Arabidopsis thaliana: one gene and its partners. The protein of the gene in region 2 purifies or fractionates together with the protein of the main gene of each other region. This does not show direct contact. Each region holds a gene or a part of one and is shown on either strand. Other genes may lie near its edges.

Region 1 (5,225 bases), on a different chromosome or scaffold from region 2:
ATTATGAGCTGCAAGAAGACAATGACTGGATTCGTCTCTACTTGGAACTTGCAGTTGCCACCACTAATAGGGGCACCATTAGGGATCTTGATGACCTGTCCAACTTGAAGATTATCCAAGTGGCTATAGATACTACTCCCCAAGATGTGGATTTGGTATTCAACCGCACATATTTTGCAATTGTCTACATACAGTACAAGGACTCGTGCGAGGCTCGAGTTGGTAAGGATGTTGATCGCGTAGCTATAGTCAGAAGAGCCTTCGATGAGCAGCGGGGATGCTTCAGTCTTGTGGGCAAGACTCTAAGATTGCCAAAAGAGTGACCCACTTTTGCTTTGCCTATGTCTCAAACGGCAGCTGTTTCCTAGTCCTAGGCTGTTTAAGGCATAGAAATACAGTGGGGTTGGCTTGTCACTAGGCAATATCCGCATTCATATGCGGATTAGATCGTACAAATCAAACCAATAAGTTATTTGGTGCGTCTGTAATGTTTTATTTTACTTTTTGACTCTAAGTTGCGTTTGAATTTTGTTTGTGCTTGAATAGTTTAACATAGGGTAAGGATAGTGAGATGTTCTAGTTTCCTTTTCATCAATAACTAAAAAAATTTAGAATGCGAGATTGGATTAATCGATTTCTAGTTTCTGAAAGTGACCAAATACGTAGTTTAAGCAGTAAGTGTTACATATTTCTTAACAGAAACCGCAAAATAGCAATCCGACCAAGTGCTAAAAAGAACTCAACTTTGTCTCTTTTACCAAATTGTTTTAACTAAACAAAAGCCGACTCATACCAAATGTCTAGATAGCAATACCTCCATCAATGGTGAATGCCTGCAAACCAATATTTTCAACCATGGTTAGGTCGCTAACATAATTAGAAACCAAGGTTAACCACCATTCGACAGGAGTATGAGATATTAACCTGTCCGGTTATGTAACTGGCTGCAGGACTGAGAGCCAAGAATTCTACCAAGCCAGCCACTTCTTCAGCTTTTCCATACCGTCCTGAAAACCAAACCGTTTTGCTTTGTATCAGAATTCTTTTTTATCTAACAATTTTTTCATGTCTCAGATACATCCTATCCATATAAATTACCCAGCAACAAATGTAAGAGATGAAATGTCCATTACCTAATGGGATTGTTCCCAGGATTTTCTTTTCCATGTCTTCTCCAAGCTCTGCAGTCATGTCAGATGCAATGAATCCGGGGCAAACCACATTGACCTGGAATAGAGCAAATTGTAGACGGAACAAGTTTCACAATCATGTCCAGGAAGTTTAAAAAAAAGACGAATATGATGAGGGAGATAGGTCACATACATTTATATTCCTGCTCGCACCTTCTCTGGCAGCAGTCTTGGAAAACGAAATAACTCCACCTTTAGCCGCTGCGTAGTTTGCTTGACCAATATTACCAATGAGACCAACAACTGACGAGATATTGATGATTCTTCCCTGCAATTAAGTATACCATGAATTATGCTTGTCATAATATCACTTCTTAATCTTATAGAAGAGCTCAAAAAAAAAAAAACGTAGTTGTCTTTTTATATATCATTTCTCCCTATGCTTCAGGGAAGGAGTAACATGTCAAAACCAATGACAAACGTGTGAGGATATAGACGGTGACATGGCATATGACAAGTAAAAAGTGTTACCCTTTTTTTCTTCATCATGATCTTTACTGCTGCCTAAAGAGAGTAAACGAGTATCAGTCCCTGAAAATCCGAGTATCAAAATTTTAGCAGTATTGCAGGAATACAAACCTGAGTACAGAGAAATACACCAGTGAGATTCAAAGCAATCACTTCGTCCCATTGTGATTGCTTCATTCGTATTAACAAGGTATCCCGAGTAATTCCTGAAAATATGTAGCCACGTCAGTAAGGTACTAAGTAAAACTTAATGGGAACCAAGGTTTTCATTTACCTGCATTGTTAACCACAACATCAATGGTTCCCCATTTGTCAAGAGCCTGCAGAAAAATAACAAAAGGAAAATGAAAAGATGTATAAGGATTAGGGAATATAAGATGGTGTACAGTTGATCACTCACGGTTTTCATCATCGCATCCACATCAGTCGCTTTCGAGACATCACCCCCAAAAGTGATAGCCTGGCCACCATATTCTTCAATCTACAGTTGCACAGAGAAGAAATGTCAGAGATTACATGAAATAAGTTGACATTGTAAACGAAAACACTATTAACTGCAGATGACATTTGTTAGCCAAAAGATAATATTTCATTTGGCAGTGTGGATCAAGAGCAAAATCACAAAACGCATTTGAGAAGCATAGGGCAATAAGAAACATTTTCCAGGTCCAGAAAATTCATTTGTCTACATTTCTTGTCCCAGAAACCAAAACTGTTTAAAGGTATTATCAACGTTAAACTCGAAAGGTACCACATTTATTTTCGTACCAACAACAACATCCTTCCATACCAAACACCTATGCATTATTTGGTCTAAACCGATATCCCGAAGCAGAAAAAGAAGGAAAGAGCTGAAAACCATTCTAGATACTTGGTGCATGAATCATGTAAATTGCAGTCTAATCCAGGGCAATGAATCACCTGTTTAGCAACTTCTTCAGCCTCTTTTGCTGACCTAGCATAATTCACCAAGACCTGCAACAGAAACAGAGTGTTTGCTTCCAGATCAGAAAATTTATGTGTAGCAATTACGGATATAAACCTATTGATGTCTCCATCACTATAATGACAAAAGAAATTGAAAGCAATCCTGTGTTAAAATCTTCATAACTCAAGACTAGTAATATCATGCAAATTGAATGCTCGAAGAGTACATATACAGATCAAATCTAACAACAAGGCGCTCCAATATTCCGAATAGTGTTAAGCCTAACCTTGCAGCCAGCTTTACCCAAGGCTAGAGCAATTGCTTTACCAATCCCTCTCGAGGCACCAGTGATAACGACCACTGGAGATTCCACTTTTTGAACAACTTCCCCTGGTGATTGCTCAGTAGCAGTAGCTTGAGCTTTCACAACTGTAATACCACAAAAATGTTGAGAATTGAGAGAGATCAAATCTATGCCAAAACCGCAAAGGAAGAGAGAAGAGGAATGAATATACCAGAGGTAGAAAACGGCTGCCGCGATCTACATCGCAGCATTCCGAAATGAGGTATCGCAGAGTGAAGCGGAGCCAATTGTCGGATTTGAGAGATCTCACGGAAACCTAGCTTCGCGACGGCTTTCAAGGAGATGAGTCTCGGTGCTGCGACGGCGGCGGCCATGGCGAATCTGTTGTTAAAGTGAATCCGTACAAGTGAACCTCGTAAAGATCGACCCAGTGGAGAAGAAGAAGAGAGAAAAGTCTTAATTTTGTCTTAGTTTCTGCTCAAACAATAATAATATATAGAATTTCAAAAAAGCGATACAAACGAAGTTATGTCAAGTGTGTAAAAGTCATGTTTATAGTTGGGGCAGGTCGTCGAATAAGAGGAGACTCGATTTCACGAATAGAACTGACCTAGGTATTCGGGTTTTGTATCGGATACGGTTCATATTTGTTCGGATGCGGGTAATTGTATAATATATAGTTTTGTGGAGCAGTGTTTAAAAAAAAAATTGGTCAAAGAAAAAAAAAGAAAGACAAAGAGGATTGAACGGTAGACGTAGACGCCATTGGAGTTTGAAAGGGAATTAGTCGACGTTTTATGGATCATTGTCGTTTCGGTGTCATTTTCTTCTTCTTCTTTCGCTAGCACGATTTAAAGCCTGACTAGATCCATCATCGGCCATGGAGGATTCTACAGCCACGGCTACGTCTTCGTCTTCCACTCATTATTTCTCCATTTTCACGAATTATCCTCTCATTTCCGCCGTCACCTCTTTCACTATCGCTCAATTCATCAAACTCTTCACCTCCTGGTACGTTCTCTCTTTATATCTCTGTTTGGATCAGACTCCGATTAAATCTATATGTGCCTGGTTCCTCAATCTTTGGTTCGAAACGGTACATAGGAAATTATAGTATACGTTAGATGAGAAAGGATCTTTACATGGTTTCCTAGATTCTGTAGGTATAGGGAACGGAGATGGGATCTCAAACAGCTTATTGGGTCTGGAGGAATGCCTTCTTCGCATTCAGCGACCGTTACAGCTCTCGCTGTAGCTATTGGTTTACAAGAAGGCTTTGGTGGATCACATTTTGCCATTGCTTTGATTTTGGCATCTGTTGTAAGTTGGATACTTTCTCTAGTTTAATCAAATTGGCTATTAAGGAATCAAGTGACGATTAATATGTGAGTGGTTTGGGTTGGTAGGTGATGTATGATGCTACCGGTGTTAGATTACATGCTGGTCGTCAAGCTGAGGTTTGTTCATTGCTGCTCTAACCTTTCCTTTGTTTCATCTTCTAACTTGACTGGTTTGATAAAAGAACCACTATTGGTTTTGTCATGATGCATTTGAGCTCTGGTATCCTGATCTCTGGGGTCTGATTCATTTTTCAGGTTCTCAATCAGATTGTATATGAACTTCCTGCAGAACATCCGCTGGCTGAAAGCAGACCTTTGCGGGAACTTCTTGGTCATACCCCTCCCCAGGTATGTAGACATATGACTTGAAAAAGTCTTTTCATATATGACTAGCAAGATATGAGATTCTTTTAGCTGTTACATTTAGCAAGATAGTTACAGAGTTAGGGGAAATCATGAGTACAAATAGAGTGCTGAAGGAATCGGTGAGGGGGATCGTGTAATTGGGAACAGAGTTGAGGGTCTTTTGGAGGCTTGTGTGAGCTGATGGAACTCTAGAACAGACCCTAGTTTGTGTTTACTTTGGTTGATAAATGAACTACTCTTTGATTTGTAACCGTGTTGATATCAATGAATTTCTAGTTCTCATCAGATTCTGTTTTCCATTTGCTGAGAATTCAGGTCGTTGCTGGTGGAATGCTTGGAAGTGCTACAGCAGTCACCGGATACTTATTTTTCAGGATAGCTACAAGCTAACGTCAAGAACATGCATAGACACAACTCTTCTGCTTCATTGCCTATTGAAGCCACTGGAGAGTACCAAAACAGATTTACAACCGAATCCGAGTTAAAAATATATTTATTCTTGTTTAACATTACCATTACCATATGTAAAGAAATCGTGAAACACCATTACAAAAATAACGTGATTTTATTTGAAAATAAGTAGTATACAAAGGAATTTGTGGAATAAAATTGTGATGTTCATCATTGTT
Region 2 (6,219 bases):
AGTTGAGTTAAAATAAAAAAAATTATTGACAAAAAATGCAAAGAAATCACCAAATTACAAAAAGAAAAGCAAGATTAACCTTGAATAAAAATATTGTACACCAAACCTCAATCATTTGAAAAAACGACAAGCCGTAATTTTTTCCGAACAAATCACAAATTCCGCAGTCCGGTGCGGTGAACCAAACAATGCGTTGCGGTTTCAATAGTAACTAAAATCTCTACATATATGTGTATGTATATATTTTTGTTCTTATTTGAACCGCACCGTACTCTATTCACAGTTGAACTGTATGTCTCTATTCGCAACAGAATGAAAAAATCAAACTTGAGGTTGGTTAGCTCTAAAAAAAACATATGTTTTTTTTTTGTTGAAGTATTTTAAAGCAAGTTAAATTTTTTTTAAAATAAAATAATATTAATAGTCGTTTTTTAATGAGAACAATACAAATGCGAGTTTAACCTCGAAAAACTGTAAAACAAACCTCAATCTTTTCAAAAAACGACAACAAAAACCTCTAATTTGTTTTATTGAACTTTGGACAGTTTTTTTCTTTATTGTACCTCAAATTTCACATTTAGGCCATTCTTGAAGCATGCTTAATTACAAAGTAGCATTGTTTATGTGAAAAAGCACGAGACATCTTATTTCAGAAACACTTCTGTTTACAATATCAATTATCAAAGCTGCATCGTTTATCCTATAACTTTAGTTGCCATTATCCATCATAGCAACCTTAAACCAGTTGCATTACAAATTTTGAATTTTGAGGAACCAACTTAAGGAAGCAAAGATAAAATTTGAGAGACAAAAGGAAAGGGTAAGAGACAACATTGGAGTGCGATTTTTTTAGTTCAACTTTAGTTTCAGCGATACTTCAGACCATCGGTTGCGCCTCTGGTCCATGATCACTGCAAACGGTTGCACAATCGCCCCATAATGAGTCCCTCCAAAATATTTCATAGAAGAAGCTTATGTATAATTAAGTGTTTTAGGTACCTAAAGCATCTCAGAGATGTGGAAACGTGTCAATCCACACGATGAAAACTACTCTTTGTATCTCATCGTCTCTTTCTCGAACCCAATCGTTGGGAATTGCTTAGCATATTCTTCTACCATCTCACGGAGCTTTGACATCTCTGACTGTAATTTCTCATTTGATTGCATTGTTGCTACAAAGTCTTTCAACTTTGTTCCTGCAGTACATTATAGATACATCAATACAATCCCAAGCATGACACAGAAAAAGTAAACCGAACCAAAAGACTTTTTATATATACCTTGAGACTCTGCTTTGATCTTTAAGGCTATCTTGACGGCTAAATCAAAATACTCCGCCACTTTTGCAAAATCTTCCTCAATGAATCCTCTTGATGTGAGGGCTGGTGTTCCTGTAACCATACCATCATCCATCATAAGAACAAATCGGAACATACACGATTTTCTTGGTGATCAACAGGTCTCTATGAATTAGCATAGAAGTCCTTTTTCATAAGTAGTAGATTGCAAGAAGCATGAACATTTAGCACTTTTCGACATACTAACACTTTACTTGTTTCAGTGTTCTTTTTTGTTCAAAAATAACATTAATGGTGGTAAATAGCAGACGTATGAATGTTTACTACTCTTTCGACATACTAACACATTACTTCTTTCAGAGTTTTTATAAGAGCCTTACCCATACGGATGCCACCGGGAACCATGGCAGAAACATCACCAGGAACAGTATTCTTGTTTGCTGCAATATGTACTAATTCTAATACTTTTTCCACTCTTGATCCATCTATTCCCTGCAAAACCCATTTTCCAACATCAAATATTTTACAAGAGTAAATTAGCTATTCTAAGCACTTCCTACTAAGGTTAACAGTACAAAAATTAAACATTTTACACTTGATTAGCTCCATCTGGTCAGTATGTCGTTAGTAAAAATTGAAACCACACAACATATATGGGAAAAAAATCATCATTGTTTTTAGTTTTATCATATTTCAAGAGTTAAGATTCTCTAATACCGATGAGATTCAGTCCTTTCATATGCAAACTCGTACATTTAAAGCAAACATTTCCATCTAGATATCAAAGGGTTTGAGCAATTAAAGATAGAATGAGAAGTACCTTGTTTTTCAGATTCACCAAAACTAAATGATTATCAGTGCCTCCAGACACTAAATCATATCCTTTCGCAAGCAAAGTCTGCATTGACAAGCCATATGAGATGATTACAGTAGGTCTTATATCCAACTGTTCCAAACATGACAAGATATCTAAGGCATATCAACTAATTACTCAAGTAAAAATACGACAATCAGCAAACACAACGCACCTCAGCAAACTTTGAGCAATTACGGAGAACTTGATCCTGGTAGGCCTTGTACTCAGGAGTTCTTGCCTATAATAGAACAAATCGATAAGTCAAAAGATCATGAACAAGAGTTACAAGACCAAGAGAATCCTAGAGTAGACCTTAATCAGAAAGTGAAAGGAGATCATGCGAACACATTAGACAATGGAACACAGTTTCAATAAAAGTTTGATGACTGAACCTGCTTCAGAGCAACTGCTAGACCCGTTATAGTGTGATTATGTGGACCACCTTGCAGTCCAGGAAAAACAGCTTGATTAATTCTGTCCTCATAGTCATACATGACCTATCAGGTAAAGTTACAAACGACATAAAATTAGTCAGTAACTGGAAGTTATTTACTCATTCATATACAATATAGAAACGAAAAATTCACCTCTTTCCCTTGTTTGTTAATCTCTTTTAACCCCTTCCTAAAGAATATCATAGCCCCTCTAGGACCGCGAAGCGATTTGTGAGTTGTAGTCGTAACAACATCTGCATACTCAAAAGGAGAAGGAATAACGCCAGCAGCAACCAACCCACTAATATGAGCCATATCAGCCAACATAACTGCCTTTTGCTTGTTACAGACCTGCAATTTTTTATGCATAACCTTGAAAACTGCAACTTTTGTAACTAAACTTCACACTCAAGAGTTGAGACAATACTTTACCTTACGAATACGTGCATAGTCATATAGACGAGCATAAGCACTTGCACCCGCAACAATAAGTTTCGGTCTGAAAAGCACGGCACTCTTTTCTAGCTGCAAATTATTGTATCACAAATAAATAAACTTTGGTTTAAAAACTGTTCAATTACTTAACATAAGAACCGTAAACGAAAAGCTTGTATGTATTAAACCCATATCTCAATGGTATATTGGATAAAGATAGAATGTTGAAGCATTAAGCTAAGCTGGCTATGAACTAACCAACCTGGTCATAATCAATGTAACCAGTGTTCTCATCCAATCTGTATGGCATTGTCTCAAAAAAGATGGATACAGCCGATATTTTCTTCGTGTCAGTCTGCACAAGAGCAAATAAAAGAAATGAGGAAAAGATACAATATCAATTCCACAAAGAGATGAGAAAAGAAAGTCAAATACTGACTGACCAAGCTAGAGAGACTAGAACCCAAGTACCTGATAACCATGAGAAAGATGTCCACCATGAGGTAAATCAAGTGCCATGATTCTTTCATGAGGCTTCAACAATGCAGTGTAAACTTGGAAATTAGCTGGTGATCCTGATAAAGACTGCACATTGACTACAAAATGAACAAGTGTCTCCATTAGTAAATTTGGTTTCTAGTAGGATTTCTTTAATCACAATTCACAACGAAAGTATGTAATTAGCACACCTCCCCATTTAGAAGGATCTAACTGAAAAGCTTCTAATGCGCGTTTTTGACATAATGTCTCAGCCATGTCAATGTACCTAGTCAATAAGATGCAAACAACCTTAAGCATCATATACTAACAACAAAGTAAACCATTGTAAGTATAACAAATACATACTCATTTCCTCCATAGTATCTAGCTCCAGGGTATCCTTCACTATACTTATTAGTCATAACAGAACCAACGGCTTGCATCACAGATAGAGAAGTGAAATTCTCTGACGGTATAAGTTCAAATCCCTGAAAAAACTCGTAACATCATCCCCCAAATCAATAAATCAAAGCTTCTATATATGTGAATTTGATCATTCTCACTAAATTTTGTTGATACCTTCCATTGTCTAGCCTTCTCTAATTCGATAATATCCGCAACTTCAGGATCGATTTCATCTAGAGATGCATTCAATTGCTTAATCCACTGATAAAGAAACAGAAAAGTTTAAATCGAAATAAGCCATTCGTTAGATTATATATTATGACGCATCTGATCTAATTGATGAGCTTACACTAGAACGAGATTTCTCCGATTCCGCCATAGCTGCGGTTGATAAAGACGACTGTGTATAAGAGTCAAAAACGGATCAGAATCAAACGAAGGATAAAACGTGAATGAATCTGACTGTGATAGGATTTTACCATGAAACGGAGTGAACCGCCATTAGAGGAGAGAAGCGAGATCGGTTTCTTAACGGAAGAGGAGAGTCTACGAAGAGCCAACGCCATTTTTTTTTTTTCTCTATCTATCGTCTTCTCTGTTTCTCTGAGTGAGTGCGATTATATAAAAGCGGTTCTGCTTCTCAGCTTCTGTATAAGTGAGCATTGGAGTTGGTGAGAGGTGACCGAGATTCCTTTGTTTTATAAGCTTTTTTTAATTTCTACTCTCGGTGCCTTACTTAATTATTATTTTGTTTCTATGTATTTGTCATTTGATATTGTTTTCTTCAATGCAATCATATTTTTTTTATTTGTAATGTCTTACAACAACAATAAATTATGTTACATACACACTATCTTATTTTGCTCCTGTTTTTTTTTTTTTTAAAAAAAATTAAATTGTAGAACAATATAAAAGCCTCTAGGTGGAAAAGAGGATCCTAAACCCAAGTTATAATCATTATTCATTAGAGAAGTCCGTGTAAGCTTATGTTATATTGTGTAAGACTTTGATTAATGTAATCAAGGCTACTTTTTTGAACAGCCACATTCAACATTTTATAAAACATAATTGAAACTTATTTTGTTCTTGAAGACAACATAAAATCTTTCACATTTATCTCTTCTTTACATTTCAATAAAGTTCAATGAGCATCAATCTATTCATGTATTAGAAATGTCAACATACACATATTATGAAATTGTTTAAATTGAAAAGTGTTTTGAGAAATTTATCAGTCTATGATTATTTTTTTATAAGAAATTGTCTTGTTGAAGTTTTGTTAACCGAGTCGATATACTCTTCATTTTTCTCAAGGTCAATATAAGTGTGGCATGAACAGTCAAATATTAGATGTGTGGGTGGTGTGTGGTTAGCTCGGGATCATCTTGGCCAAGTTTGATTAATATGTCAAGAGTGTGCTTGTCATAAAGTGGTGATCTAGTAACTGTTGTACCGCTACAATTTCGATTCCATGAAGTTGGCTTTTATATATGGTGAATCTTTTAGACAATATCAACAACTTGAATACTTGATGTTGGGCGTCGTTTGCTTGAAATAGTTTCATGTATGGTCAACTTTGAATTGAATAGTTGCAAGGGCTGTCACACGGCATAGACAGTTTCATTTATATCTAACCCTGGAGATCCAACGTGGCTCCACAATCACATTCTAAGAATCTATATGATGAAAAGTTTAATTTTTAAAATATGCTTTATTTGATGTTATTAATTTTTTAATCATGTGTTTCTGTTGCTTGAAAGTTGATGAAACTCTGGGGTTGTTAAAAAAAGAAGAAGCTTGTTAATCTCGAAAATGAAGCAATTCAAAAATACTATCCAAAAAATATGAAATTCACTTTACCTATCTCTAACTTTTTTTTTTTAACAGCAACTTCTTTTATTAGATAGATGAAGTGTAATCCTCGTGAAGGATGTCTACAAGAAAGTTTGGTACATGGAAGTAATTGACAAATGAAAGATCATTGGGTCTCCGAGTTCTCGCTAGACAATCCGTTGCCTTATTGCTTGATCTCGCAGTCCATTGTATCTTCACGCTCGTGTACTTCTGTTGCCATACTCTTATTTCCTGTATAAGATTATGAAGACCGAAGTTGTTTATTTCACTTTTGAGAAGTTTTGGGATTTGACTGTTATCGCTTTCAAATATTATTTTCCGGTGCCCTTTTATCCACATGTGTTGCATCGCCATGAGTAATGCTTGTAATTCAGCTTCTAGAATTGTACTGCACGTCTGAGCTTTGTTGTGGGAAGCTTCATTGTAGTAACCTTCTTCATCTCGCAATATCCAGCCT
Region 3 (5,622 bases), on a different chromosome or scaffold from region 2:
AAAAATAGGAAGAAGACTAAATCTTTTTTCGTAGTATATTCTTTGGAATCTAAATTTCACAAGAATTTTGTAAGATTCTTCTATCCACAAGATTAAGACTTGCAGTGAGAACTAAATGATCCAACAAGAGTCGAGAGAAAAAAAACATAAAACAAAATTCCGGAGAATGACTCATTTACATTTAGATAACCAATAGAGTAATAGAATTTACATTTCTTTTCTTTTATTTTCAATTAATCACTAATACAAGTTTCAGACGTTTAAAAAATCAACTAATCATTTTTTTCACTAAAAATAGGCCAAAAGATAAGTAAATTACAACCAATGAAATATGTCTCTATAAACTATTAATATTTGATGAAAAAAAAAAAAAAAAACTAATAATATTCACAAGTTGGACTTTTCAATTACGAGTTGGGCTTCTAAATTTAAATATTGGAGCCCAAATGAGTTTTTATTTGACCGGTATGTAGCGGGCATAACCAAGCACGGGTCAAATCTGTATTTAGTCGTGCGAATTCGATTTTTTGGTTCGGTTCGATCGGTTAATGGGCTATATGATACAAAGGGGCCCGCATTTAAAACTAAAGTTTAATTAGCTCGGTAGTCGGTATGGTTGTAATTTTGGTTCGGTTCAGATTTAGAAAGAGGATATCGAATTGATACCAAAATTCCTAAGTTCCTAAGTCAAGAGCCAGACCGTCTCTTTCTCGTGTACTTACTTTCTCGGTTTCTTCATCGTCCCTAGCTTGACTTCTTTAGAGAAAAGTCGAACAAAATCCGGACCATAACATACGTGAGATGACAATAAAGTTCAGAACTTTAAGAGAACCGGGTGATCAGAATCATACAAGCCAAGAATGAGCAACTCTTAGGATTTCGATTATTGAAGAACAAGTTTCTTGCTCAGAATCATGTCGTCAGTGGTGAAATCCGCTTCTTTCCGGAATGTTCCGCGACCGAAATCAAGGTTGTATGAGTCAGTGAGACCCTCCACTAAGTCGAACTCCGGTTTCCATCCGAGGACATGCTTTGCTTTCTCCACCGATGCAAAGAAATGCTGCAAGAGAATATACATATATCAAAATCTCAACTTCTAAATTGGAATCGTTCATGTTGCAGCCTCGATCATTAGAACGTTGTGGTTTTTACCTGATCACGGAAAGGGAATGCCTTCTTCTTCCCAAAGTCGAACTCTTTCGGGTTGTAATGAACAATCTCTGGCTCCGGAAACCCACCGGCCTGAGAGAGAGTTGAAAACATGAATAAGTTTACTCAAGCAATGATCCAAAAAGCTCAGAGTATGATATCTATTACAAACGGACCACACCAGGATGTACTTGAAACGATTTGGATTGATGAGACAACAATAAAGCCAATAGAAAAGAATGTACCTTTGCGCAAGCTTTTGCTAACCCATCAAAGGTAACATATTTCTCCCCCGAGATGTTGAATATCTCTCTGCTGGCTTTCTCGTTACCAAGCACGTTGAGAAAGGCTGTTGCCAAGTCCTGAAATTACAGAATGATTTGATGTTATTGATCAATACTCTTCAAGATTGATCAGAGCTGAGTTTCAGTCAGTGGGTCCCTATAACAATGAGTTTTCTGAACATGAAAGGAAGCTCAAGAATTAGAGAAAGTGTGACTGACCTTAACGTGACCGAGTTGTGAGATCTGTATCCCAGAGTTTGGAACCGGGATTGGGCGACCTGCCTTTAGACGGTGGAAAAACCATTCTTCGACGGGGTTGTAATTCAATGGACCGTAGATGTAGACAGGACGTATAGAAGTCCAGTTTACACCTTTTGATTGCAGTAAGCTCTCAGTCTCCAGCTTCCCCTTGTGCCTGCTCTTCGGATCAACTGCATCCTCCTGCATCAGTTATGTCCCAAATAAAAAGTTATTACAAATGGCCTTAGATAATAAACTTCTGGGTGACATCATATGATCAAATTACATAATCATACTATTCTATGGCTAATTCAAGAAAAGTACAAGCTCATATCTTCCAGGAATAAGAATAAGATATCTTTTACATACCTCACAATGTGGCAAGATATCAGATTTCAGATAAACACCAGCTGAAGAACAGTAGATGTACCTATAACATTAACGGAAGATTTAAATTTTGAAGGGCTATGTTTTGAAAGCTATAAACCAAATGAACAAGCTAGGCCTTGATAGATGTTATGTATTACTTACTGCTCTAGTTTGGGTAGTGCTTCTAGTATGGGCTCAACTTCTTCGGCCTCCCTCCCTGAGAAAAAAAGAGAGCATAAATTATACGAAATCTTAAAATCTTTGTTGTCAAAGGCAAAAGACTAGATATTCTTGAATTTACAGTAAGAACAAAGTGATTAGCTGTTACCGTTGATATCATAAACAACATCGAAGCCTTCTGCTGAAAGACTTGACTTCACAAAGTCATAGTCCTTTCTGTCTCCTTTCAAGTGAAGAATCTAGAAAAGGCCGAGAAAAATCATTTATTTTATTGGAATCCTAATCATCCAAGTTCCTATCATCTGAAATGTATATTATATTTGAGTGTGCATACTAGTTTTTTACAAGGATTCATGTAATACCTTAGAAGAGAAATCAGCAAAGTCTTGGTCAGATTCACCGGGCAATTGTTTGGCAATAGGAGATTTACCCCTTGTGAACAATGTAACCTGCAAAAGCAACCATTGGTCACTCAGAAACGGAAACTAAATTTTTAGCTGAAAAGAGAGTTTGATCGGTAGTGGAACCTGATGTCCCTCTTTGACAAGGATCCTGGACAAGAACAGACCAATGAATCGAGTACCACCCATTATCAGAATCTTCTTTTCGCTCGACGCTGAAACATAGAGTGCTCCTTTTGGCTGATGAACCTTCCTCTTGTACTGCAATTTTAACAACAAAGCCAACTCTATAAGAAAAATCTTATCCCCAAAATACAAACTGTAGTTTCAATTCTAAGACTAGTGATAGAATCTGAAGGCAGAGCGTCACAGAAACAAATCATACTTGACACAAATGAGGGGGGTATTCAGACAACTCAAACCAGAGCCAAACCACAAACCAGAAACTCTCACAATTATGACGAAGAAGCTCATAAAACTCTTTACTCATAATACAAAATCAGAGCTGAAACAAGAACCACACTAAGACTTTAGACACACATTCATTAATATAGACACAATGATCCATAGCTCAAGAAGTCGAACAAACAAGCTTAAACCCATTTTAAAAGGAATAGTTTTGAAATGTGCTGAACGGATTTTGGCTCATCAGACACACAAAAGCAGAACCCATCTGATAAAATTGATAATGATAGTCGTCAGAACGAAGGATGAAAAAGACCTGGACTTGTAAATGGAGCTTAGCGCCATTGAAGTCAGACAGAGAAGAAGTAAGGAGAGAGAAAGAAGGCTGATGCTGTTGCAACATCATCATCTTCGCCATGGTTGATTGGTTAAGTCTCTGAGCAACAACTGAAGAAAAGCTCTTATTTGAAATTGAAGTGTGTATGGTGGTTCGTGGGACCTCGTCATCTTGTTCCTTCCGATCATTAAAAGTCTTAAATTTTGAAGGGATAAGACAATTATCTCAGCCTCTCGCCATTTCATGGTCACATATTTACAGCCATTGTCGTCCTCTTCTTTCTTAACTCTTCTTTTGCCTTGTTGTGGATAGTGGATAATTTTGATCGAAACACAAGTTTTTGTGGTGAAATCGTAATTACCATTTTTTTTGAATAATTGGGCCTAACTTCTTTAAATATTATTGGGCCAGAGAAGAGTTATCGGGCTCGTTGAGAATTAAAAAACACATTTGAAAGAAATTATCAAAAATAGAAGAAATCACGTAGCAGACACGCGCAAGAGTTTTGAAGATCTGATACAGAAATTTTTTCTCGGGAAAATTCAGAGGGAAGATCGATACTTTCCACAACGGAGAAGGTGTTTCGTTTCTGCTGATCAGCAGATTACTTCTTCTTTTTCTCGGATTGATCCTTTTGGATTCTTCGAAAGATGGACCCTAATAATCAGGTGAATTTTCAGCTGCTTCCTCTCATTTTGTTCTGACTTAATTTCTGAGTTCGATTGCATATCAGATTCTTGATTAACCTGTATCTAGTTGTTCGATCTAGATGTTATTGTGTCAGATCTGTGTTTCGACGTTTTGGTCTCCGATAATCCGTAGAAATTATGCATTTGAGCTAAATAAACATTGCTAGGTTAGAGGATGTGTTGGCGGATAATAATCTTTATGTACTCTTTTGGGTAGCATCGTAATGGTTATTACAATGTAAAATTGCTACAGCTAATCTTACCAAAACTTTATGCTTTCTTAGATACAGGCACCAGTTGAAAATTATGCAAACCCAAGGACATGTCTTTTCCATGTTCTCTTCAAGGTATGATTTAGAGTATAAATCAGTTTAGTCAAAGGAAATGTTAGACATTGGACAAATGTTAAACCAGTTTGTATTTGTTCTTGGACCAGGGTGCTGCGTTGGCGTTTTACATTCTCTCTGCTCTCTTCTTCAACAGCTTTGTCATCATCTTTGTAGTCACTGTTCTTCTTGCTGCTCTTGACTTCTGGGTGGTTAAGAATGTCAGTGGGCGTATACTGGTTGGTCTCAGGTGGTGGAACGAGATCAATGACTTGGGAGAAAGTGTCTGGAAATTCGAGTCTCTTGATCAGGAGGTTAGCTTTTCTTCACTTATTCACAAGGATATGGGTTCAGCCTGTCGAGAAATGTGGGGTTGTGTTTCCCTTTCCGTTTTTTTTTTGTATACTCATGTGTTTTCATCATTTTTCTATACAGTCTTTGGCTCGGATGAACAAGAAAGACTCATGGCTTTTCTGGTGGACACTTTACCTTGCAGTAAGTATTTCATATCTAACACTTCAGTTGCAGCATAAGCTAATTACTTAAAACCCATTCACAATCATTGTGGAACTTTAGTGGATGACTAGGAATAAGAATAGGCAAGGATAAACATGTCCCTTATAGTGGAATAAGAATAGGCAAGAATAAACATGTCCCTTATATTGAAGCATATTGTGCAAAGGTGGTAGATAAGAATTGAGAGCAGTCTTTTAGAATCCCATGTAGACCCATATATAGATCGCTAGACACCTGAATATCTTCCCCCAAGAAGCTACCAGTTAAAGAAGTTTGCGACAAATGGTTTTTCCCTCTGCATGAGTGGGATATAGCATTTGACATTGGAGTCAAATCACATGCGAAGTCACATTACAATATATGTTGAGTAGGGAAAGATTATCTGCTGGAACCAAGTCGGCCATTTGGAGTATATCCTATGATCTTACACTGACTAAGTATAATATTAGTTAAAACTTGGTAGCTTACAAACTTATATGCTCAGTTACCTTACAAGCGACTATAAAGAGTGAGATGTAGCCATGAGATGGTAGCTATGGATTTGATGTCTATGGTACTGGAGCGTAGTAAACATTAAAAACATGTGGATTTGTTTGCTGTCTTTTTCTGTTGTCTTCACAGCTAAATCTTCTCCTTTTTTCACTCTTCAGGCAGCTGCATGGTTTATCCTTGGGGTATTTTCTCTGATTAGATTTCAAGCTGACTATCTGCTTGTTGTTGGCGTTT

What was found. The genes of interacting proteins can lie anywhere in the genome.
Region 1: the proteins of SHM2 (region 2) and AT1G24360 fractionate together in Arabidopsis thaliana (co-fractionation; one large-scale study listed by BioGRID). This does not show direct contact.
Region 3: the proteins of SHM2 (region 2) and CRB fractionate together in Arabidopsis thaliana (co-fractionation; one large-scale study listed by BioGRID). This does not show direct contact.

The regions. Positions count from the first base shown.
Region 1 is NC_003070.9:8,638,859-8,644,083, reverse strand, and holds AT1G24360 (NAD(P)-binding Rossmann-fold superfamily protein), read right to left. Parts: upstream 3,503-5,225; 5' UTR 3,265-3,502; coding exon 3,102-3,264; intron 3,016-3,101; coding exon 2,873-3,015; intron 2,634-2,872; coding exon 2,580-2,633; intron 2,140-2,579; coding exon 2,059-2,139; intron 1,979-2,058; coding exon 1,933-1,978; intron 1,865-1,932; coding exon 1,770-1,864; intron 1,695-1,769; coding exon 1,662-1,694; intron 1,459-1,661; coding exon 1,324-1,458; intron 1,228-1,323; coding exon 1,134-1,227; intron 1,008-1,133; coding exon 925-1,007; intron 834-924; coding exon 801-833; 3' UTR 581-800; downstream 1-580. Other genes in the region: AT1G24350 (Acid phosphatase/vanadium-dependent haloperoxidase-related protein), read left to right, coding at 3,771-3,901, 4,054-4,210, 4,297-4,347, 4,486-4,578, 4,662-4,715, 4,912-4,986; EMB2421 (FAD/NAD(P)-binding oxidoreductase family protein), read right to left, coding at 5,218-5,225.
Region 2 is NC_003076.8:9,416,554-9,422,772, reverse strand, and holds SHM2 (serine hydroxymethyltransferase 2), read right to left. Parts: upstream 4,579-6,219; 5' UTR 4,475-4,578; coding exon 4,388-4,474; intron 4,309-4,387; coding exon 4,258-4,308; intron 4,170-4,257; coding exon 4,083-4,169; intron 3,992-4,082; coding exon 3,870-3,991; intron 3,790-3,869; coding exon 3,713-3,789; intron 3,620-3,712; coding exon 3,495-3,619; intron 3,379-3,494; coding exon 3,286-3,378; intron 3,114-3,285; coding exon 3,021-3,113; intron 2,940-3,020; coding exon 2,742-2,939; intron 2,652-2,741; coding exon 2,547-2,651; intron 2,393-2,546; coding exon 2,327-2,392; intron 2,245-2,326; coding exon 2,119-2,244; intron 1,791-2,118; coding exon 1,679-1,790; intron 1,392-1,678; coding exon 1,281-1,391; intron 1,197-1,280; coding exon 1,048-1,196; 3' UTR 1,000-1,047; exon of another isoform or gene 912-999; 3' UTR 622-911; downstream 1-621. UniProt on the Arabidopsis thaliana protein: Functions outside the photorespiratory pathway in catalyzing the interconversion of serine and glycine with the conversion of tetrahydrofolate (THF) into 5,10-methylene-THF.
Region 3 is NC_003070.9:3,013,297-3,018,918, reverse strand, and holds CRB (chloroplast RNA binding protein), read right to left. Parts: upstream 3,683-5,622; 5' UTR 3,447-3,682; coding exon of another isoform or gene 3,345-3,446; 5' UTR 3,114-3,344; coding exon 3,009-3,113; intron 2,885-3,008; coding exon 2,750-2,884; intron 2,672-2,749; coding exon 2,585-2,671; intron 2,462-2,584; coding exon 2,371-2,461; intron 2,260-2,370; coding exon 2,205-2,259; intron 2,104-2,204; coding exon 2,043-2,103; intron 1,875-2,042; coding exon 1,653-1,874; intron 1,512-1,652; coding exon 1,395-1,511; intron 1,243-1,394; coding exon 1,153-1,242; intron 1,061-1,152; coding exon 884-1,060; 3' UTR 581-883; downstream 1-580. Other genes in the region: AT1G09330 (golgi apparatus membrane protein-like protein ECHIDNA protein), read left to right, coding at 4,016-4,033, 4,339-4,401, 4,491-4,694, 4,816-4,875, 5,547-5,622. UniProt on the Arabidopsis thaliana protein: Binds and cleaves RNA, particularly in stem-loops. Associates with pre-ribosomal particles in chloroplasts, and participates in chloroplast ribosomal RNA metabolism, probably during the final steps of 23S rRNA maturation.